Linked DNA regions of Mus musculus. The protein of the gene in region 1 interacts with the protein of each later gene in a biochemical or structural test. Links are inferred from orthologs where the notes say so. Each region holds a gene or a part of one and is shown on either strand. Other genes may lie near its edges.

Evidence for each region.
Region 2: of the proteins of Dapk3 (region 1) and Pawr, one has a biochemical effect on the other in vitro, tested with the Homo sapiens proteins (2 studies listed by BioGRID). The link is inferred for Mus musculus from reciprocal best matches to the Homo sapiens genes DAPK3 and PAWR.

The regions. Positions count from the first base shown.
Region 1 is NC_000076.6:81,181,850-81,185,815, forward strand, and holds the start of Dapk3 (death-associated protein kinase 3), read left to right. Parts: upstream 1-1,157; 5' UTR 1,158-1,234; coding exon 1,235-1,247; exon of another isoform or gene 1,248-1,570; intron 1,571-2,068; exon of another isoform or gene 2,069-2,126; coding exon 2,127-2,226; intron 2,227-3,966. Other genes in the region: Eef2 (elongation factor 2), read left to right, coding at 40-233. UniProt on the Homo sapiens protein: Serine/threonine kinase which is involved in the regulation of apoptosis, autophagy, transcription, translation and actin cytoskeleton reorganization. Involved in the regulation of smooth muscle contraction.
Region 2 is NC_000076.6:108,408,673-108,412,189, reverse strand, and holds part of Pawr (PRKC apoptosis WT1 regulator protein), read right to left. Parts: intron 2,728-3,517; coding exon 2,580-2,727; intron 227-2,579; coding exon 122-226; intron 1-121. UniProt on the Homo sapiens protein: Pro-apoptotic protein capable of selectively inducing apoptosis in cancer cells, sensitizing the cells to diverse apoptotic stimuli and causing regression of tumors in animal models.

The DNA.
Region 1 (3,966 bases):
CCCCAGGGAAGTCACCTGAGTCTCCTGTCTTCTGTCTAGGCTTCACCGCTGATCTGCGATCCAACACCGGCGGCCAGGCCTTCCCCCAGTGCGTGTTTGACCACTGGCAGATCCTGCCTGGGGATCCTTTTGACAACAGCAGCCGCCCCAGCCAAGTGGTAGCTGAGACGCGCAAGCGCAAGGGCCTGAAAGAGGGCATCCCAGCGCTGGACAACTTCCTGGACAAACTGTAGGCAGCCTGATACTGCCACATGCTGCACAGTGCCCACCCATCAGAAGACACCTTGAGACTGTCCCACAGTGCTCCTCTAGAGGCTGCTGGGGCCACCCTGACATCACTCAGCACTCACTTGCTACCAATTCTATTTATTTCGGAATTACAAGATAGCGGGAATCTCTCTGCAGGCTGGACTGGCAGGCTGTGGGGTGGGCGGGACACGGCTCTTAACATTTTCAGAGGGAAACGCGCAGATGTCCAAAAGTCTAAATAAATGCATTCAGAGGTTTTTGGGGTCCATGGCCAAGTGGAGTTCCCCCAGAGGGGGAGGTGGGGTAAGTGCCTCCAGGAAGGCAGGCAGCCTGCCTTAGACTTGCAGCCCGGCTGTGGGAATGAATCATTGGAGTAATAAACTACAGTGGTTGATCCACATGTGCTCGCAACTCTGTTTTGTACAGCGCACGCTTTCCTGGTTTTCAGGGTATCTGGCTACCCTTAGGTGGCCTGCGGTGATTCACACATAACACACACACTGCACCCCGTGCGACAGAATGGGTTTTATTGTGAGTTCACAGTACTGCCTCAGTCCATTCCACAAACTTGAATCACTCCATAGACCTGCACATCAGGGGTTTGGTCTGCGCATACCCGGCTCCAGGTTATTGGCTTTCAGCCTCTCGCGTTAGCCAATCATCAGCCAGGAGCCCAATAATGATGTGCTCCACAAGGGCGGTGTCGAGCCTTCCTGTGAATCTGTCAGGCTGGCCAATGAGCACTGGACTCTCGCCTAGCCTTGGGTGATGACGTCACTAGTCAACGTCCGCTTCCGCTGAGAGGTCAGATGCTAACCAATGAGCGTGTGCATTCAATTTCCGGTTAAAGTCGTAGTCCAATGAGCGCTGGTTTTCGGGTTTTGCGGAGGTGTGCCCCTGCGCTGTCAGCGCATGCGTAGATGCCGTCTCAGGATTTGTACCGGAGGTTCTCGCGGGGGCCTCGCTGGCACCGGGCGGGGACTCGATGGCTGAGGACGGTACGAATGGGCCGGGTCCGGGACGTTGTGTTGGGACCCAAGGGACACGCGACGAGGGCGGGAGCGAGGGGAGGGAACCCGCGAGGGGCATGGCTTTCTCCAATCTCGAGGGGTGGACCTCTAGGAATAGCAACACTGCTGCGCATGTGTCAGGTTTCCGGCGACACCCCTGAGTTCCGGGGTGCTGGTGGGCATGATTGACAGGTGAGGAAGCTAGGTAGGAATTTCAAGAGCCGGACGCTATGGAAGTGTTTCGAGTAGAGAACCCCACGCTGACTTGGAACTCTGTTTAATCCTCCAGCCTCAGCCTCTTGAGTGCTAGGGTAAAGGGCACCTGACACTGTATTGTGTTTTATAGTTTTGTACATATATATATATATATATATATATATATATATATATATACTGCTTGAGAGATGTTGTTCCGCTTCTTTTAGTTATATCTATGCTTGTTTCTGAGAGGGGTGTCACAGTGCCCGCAGGTACCTGAGGTTCCTGAAGAGAGCGTTAGAGGTCATCAGGCCTGGGAGTTAGAGATACTAGTGAGCACTGGAAACTGAACTTGGAGACTGTGCAAGTACAGCACCCACTCTTACCGTCTCAGCCATCTCTCCAGTCACTTGAGCTGGTCTCATGGAACTCAGGCTGGCTTGTAACTCACCAAGTATTTGAGTATGCTCTTGAACTCGTAGCCGTGCAGCCCTCCGCTCCCCAGTGTGGGGTGTCAGGTTTGCTCTACCATGACCAAATTGTGGGTAGAGGCTGTAGATGACCAAAGAAAATCTGGGGCAGGGGCATTGTGTGTCACATATGCTGGGGAAGCCTCTTGGGAGAAGTCGGATCCGTGATAAACATTTCCTGTTTCCTCTGTCCCTCCAGCTCCTGTGTCCCCAGAATCCTTCAGAAGGCCAGCCGCCATGTCCACATTCAGGCAAGAGGATGTTGAGGACCATTATGAGATGGGAGAGGAGCTTGGCAGGTGAGTGGCGTGGGAGGTGGGTGCCCTTCCTCTCCTCAGTGTCTTGAAGCAGTGGCCACAGAGTTTTCTGGTGGTACCACGCCAGACTTCAGGTTCCCAGATGACAGGGAACCTGAGTTCCTTTTCTCTCGTGTCCTCTGTGGAGAGAGACACAGAGACCTGTAGCTGCTGCCCCTGAGCCGGGGACAGTGCCTCGGAGCATTGTCTGCTATGGGATTGTTCTCAGCTCGGTTTCTTCTTTTCCCCCATGAGACAGAGTCTTACTATGTACTCCTGGCTGGTCTGGAACTTGCTCATCACAGAGATCCTCCTGCCTCTGCTTCCCAAGTGCTGGAGCTAAAGGATTGCACCACCACCCTGGCCTTGGCTGATTTTGATTTTGGTTTTTTAAAGGCAGGCTCTCATGTCCCCCAGATTGGCCTTGAACTTCTTTTATGTAATTACTATATTTTGTGTGCATATGTGTCTTAGTCACAGCACAGCTTCCTGGAGTCTGTGCTCTCCTCTCCCATGCGAGCCAGTTCCAGGGACTGAGCTCAGGGAGTCCTTGGCAGCCCTGGGTGATGTCCCACCACACTGCACAGGCTGTTTTACGACTTGCTGGGTCTGCCTTTCTTGAGTTCTGTACATGGATGCTTTTATACTGGTGTCTCCCCAGTGCCGGGATGGTTCAGGACACCGTTTTCTGTTTGGTGTTTCTTGAGAAAGCCAGATTCTCTTTCTAGGCTAGCTCTCATGCCTGTCCGTGCTTTGGAGCCCCCTCCCTCTTCCCCCTCCCACCTCCTCATGCCAGGCCCTTCCTCTTTCTAAGGGGCTTCAGACCTTATTTGGTGAGTTCTGGGCCAGCCTTCTGGGGGCATCAAGGCCCGCCCTATGATGTCATCCCCATGGAATGTAAATAACCTTCCCAGTACTAGGCAGGCTGAGGAGGAGTTTTCCTGCCTAGGGACCCTGAACCACTTCCTTCTGGAGTTCCCCACCCCAGCCCCCACCCCTGAGAACCTCCCGGCTGCCATCCCAGTAGGGCTTCAGCGATGTTCCTGTCATGTGCTGGTCACATCTATGAGCCTACTGCTAGGGAAGTAGGGACATCTCGTGCCAGGGATGTGAGACTCAGACTGAAACATAAGATGGGACACTGGAGAGGCGGCTCAGTGATTACAGCACCAGCTGCTCTTGCAGAAGTCCTAGGTTCGATTCCCAGCAACCACATGGAGGCTCACAACCACCTGTGACTCCAGCTCCAGGAGTCTGACACTCCCACTGGTCTCTGTGAGCAAAACTTGTAAAAACACAGAAAGAAACACAGAGGCCTTCTCACATACCACACACCAACTCACCCTGACAGGTAAGTATGGACAATTTAGCCCTTACGTAGTCAACACTCTGAGGGTGGGTCCAGGATCCTGAGCTCCTCACAGGCATTGATGCTCATCTAGCAAATGAGGATGTATTTGTGCATAACCCATGCATGGCACCCTGTGTAATTTACATAAAGTGTTTATGGTGTTGGGGTAGGTGGACCCAGGCCCCAGGCCTGCCACTCTGTACACTTGCTGCCTGGATCTCTGTTTTTATTTTTTTAATTTCTATTTTGACTTATTATGAATACAGTGTTCTGCTGCATGGATGCTTGCGTGCCAGAAGAGGGCTCCAGCTCTCAATACAGATGGCTGTGAACCAACAAGGGCAGTCAGTGCTTGTAACCACTCAGCCACCTCTCCCGCCTCTGCCTCCCAA
Region 2 (3,517 bases), about 27 Mb from region 1:
AGCTCACCATAAATGACCATCTTATTAACCAAACAGGCGATGAACAAGTTCTTCACCCTTGCATGCTTTCATCCAATGACCAAAAAGAGAAACCCAGGAACTGGAATCCAGAACCACTTACTCTATTTAACAAATCGATCTCTTCCTTGAGTTTCCCAATCATTTCTTCTTTATCTTGCATCAGCCTCACAAGTCGAAGGTTTTCTTGCCTTTCTCTTACAACTTCCTAGGGAATAAATCGCAAAGCATTAACAAGGGAACTGGCTGATTGCAGTTTTCTAAAATGGCAAACACCTGTCAGTAACAGAGCACGACTCCAGACATTAGCAAAGCCCCTTCCAGCCATACCTGACACTGAAGATATGACGGTGATGATGACACAAAGACAGACAGACAGACAGACCGACAGACCAACTTTGTAAAGAAAGAAGAGAAGAGCACAGTTTTTTAAATAGCAAAATTGCAAGCTTTCTGTGAATTGAAAAGGAAAAAAATGGGACTTTCTGCTATTGTGGTTTTCCTTTAAAAGAGATGCTACGTAGTGGACCATACTTAGTGCCAAAGTTGGGAGTCTGAGGTAAGAGGATCCCCTGAACTTATGAGTTCAAAGCTAACAGAAGCCCCATAACAAGGTCCTGTCGACATGACAATTCAGTCAACGGTGGAGCGGGTGAAGAGGCATCTCCTCTGCTGCTGTAGTCATGGATAAGACGCCCGTGAGCCTGTGAACAACCCCAGTGAGACTCACTCAGACACCCCAGAAGTGGGGCTAGTTGGGGAAGATGACAAGGTACATGAGCACAACACAGTATACACACACATGAAGTGTCCTGAGGCCTGCTAGTACATATAATTAATATAGTCTAATAAAGTGATCCACCTAGGAGATTAAGAAAGCACACCCCTGGGCGTATTTATATGGAACAAAAAGAGAAGGAAGTTCAGAAACTCAGGTTTGCATCTCTTTGCTCCCTAACAGCCAGGAGGGAAGCATGTCTTCCCTCACGCCCTGGCTTCATCAAGGACAAGAAACCACGGGGCTGGCTGATACCAGCTGTAATTCTAAAACCATGAACCACGAAAAATCTACAAAAGAAAAAAAACAAACAAACAAACAAAAAAACCCAAAAAACAACAATAAGGCCCTGCAAAGTAGCTTACTCAAAGGACAGACAGACAGACCTGGAAAATACTGTCCTGTCTGAGGGAATGTAGTCTCATAAAGACAGAAGTCATATATTCTCTCTCATTCACAGACCCCAACTTTAAATGGATGGAAACGGGTTGAGATTTGGCCTAGGTTATGAAACTATGTATCAGACCACTGGAGAGCAGGAGACATTATAAAAGTGGGGGACGATGTCATGTGATAAGAAAGCAGACAAACTACTGGGGACAGGAGGGTCCAAGGGAGGAAAGGCGAATGGGGATGAAAAGTGAGAAAAGAAAACAAACAAACAAACCAAACTAAACCAAATTTTGATTGCAAAATTCCATAATGAAATATGATGGTTTGTAAGCTAATAAATGCTTTTTAATTTTTTAAAAAAATCGTTATTTAGAAGTCTTTGAATTCAGGGCTTCTAGCTCATTGTTTTACACACCTATGATCCTAGCTCTTGGGAGGTGGAGGCTGGCAGGTCAGATAGATCCAAGATCATCTTTGGTTAACTGGACTGTATGAGACGCAGTACTGTCTCAATAAACCTAGAACAGACAAAGCCTCCAGGCCTCCTGGGAGGGCTGGAAAGGTCTCTGGCAGGACTCGCTTCTTTTCTAGCCCTCAGAGAAAGCAGCAGGCTACCCAAAGCCATCAAAAGCTGCCTGTCAGCATTTCTGGAGTGTCATGAGTTTTTCAGAGGAACCTTTTGAAAACTAGTAAAGTGTATTCTCTAACCCTTTAAGTTTAAATAATGATTCTGATCAGAAATAGGGGTTAAAGCTTAAATGTAACCTAAATATCACCGCTGCGTAAGCAGCAAGTCAAAACAGATAAATCTCACAATAATCTTTGTGTCACAGGGAATAACTTCCAATCATTAAAAGAGAACTTATTCCAAACCAGTTTCAGGTGCGTGTCCACGGGACACACCTCAGCTCTGTAATTTTACTGCAATGTTCAGGTGAGTTGCTGTCGAAACATCTGTAAGCAAGTGTATCCTGTTTCTACTTGAAAATGGTTCAAGCACCAAACATGGGCCTAACTCAGAATAGCTGTAAGGTCTGAACCAACAGTATGTTCAGCCGATGTAGTGCGGGGTACAGGCTGACAATGCAAGCATTTAAGCACTCAAAAACCCTCAGTGCTCCTCAGAATACGAGTAAGATATGACAGAACAGGAATGGCTACTGAATCAAGGCATTCAAGTGGACAGAAAAGCACTTAAGGAAGTGGGGGGAAGCCAAACACCAGGGTCTAGGTGCGAACGCACAAGATAAGGAGTCCAAGCTGCTCCTGGAGTAGAACCGGATGTCTCCTGCCTGGGTGTCCCACCTCCCTTTCTGGGCATGAAGCCATGGAACTGGGAGAAGAATGCTAAAGTATGTTAATTTTATTTAGAGTAATTCATAATTCATACCTTTTCAAGATCTTCAATTCTCTTTTCCAAGGTGCTACTTGAGGAGAAACTAGCCGGCGCATTTGCATCTCTGTTGTGTCTACTGAAACCACTTCTGTCTGTTCGGGGATATCTATTTGAGATTTCATCTTCTGGGGCACTGGTTGTGCTGTGGAAATAAAAGTGAATAGTATATAAACATTGTGGGCACCCTAAAAGAAAAATGTCAAGGCTCTTTTCTCTTCAGTCTGAACAACTAACACTCCCTGAGGACACGGGGAATTTGTTTTCTGCCGTAGAACTGAATCCCCAGTCTAACCCAATGGGGAGAAACGTGTAAAAGCACATTAATTCTTTCCGCTAACTCCCAAGTGGCTGTTAGAGTCAGGCACTGTTCTGGGTCCTGAAGATGCTCACAGCAACCACACACTCATGTTGTGCTTTCAACAGGGAACACCACCAAGGTCAACAGAGGGAAATGATTATCAACTCTTCCGCCAAGGCCAGACACACTGGGGACTGGGACAGAACGATCTCCCAGACCTCTGTGGTGAAATTTACTTCTCTTTAGTTTTTCTTTTTAAATTTTTTCTTTTTTTAAATAGTCAGGCTATGGTGGCACACACCTTTAAACCCAGCACTAGGGAGGCAAAAGTAGGCAGATATCTGAGTTTGAAGCCAGCCTGGTCTGCAGAGTGAGTTTCAGGACAGCCAAGGCTATACAGAGAAACCCTGCTTTCAAACAAACAAATAAGTAAATGAAAATGAAATAGCCTTTTATTTTCAGAGTTCAATGTCTCATTTAAATTCCAAAAACATAAAAAAAAAATCAAAAATGTAATTTGAATGGGAAAAAAGTAGAGAGCTGTGTAAAGTTGCATACTTCCAACTGAAAGTCGGCACGTAGGCAAGTCCTTCCATTCTGGTAACTCTTTAGCCAGCACTTTCTCAAAATTAAA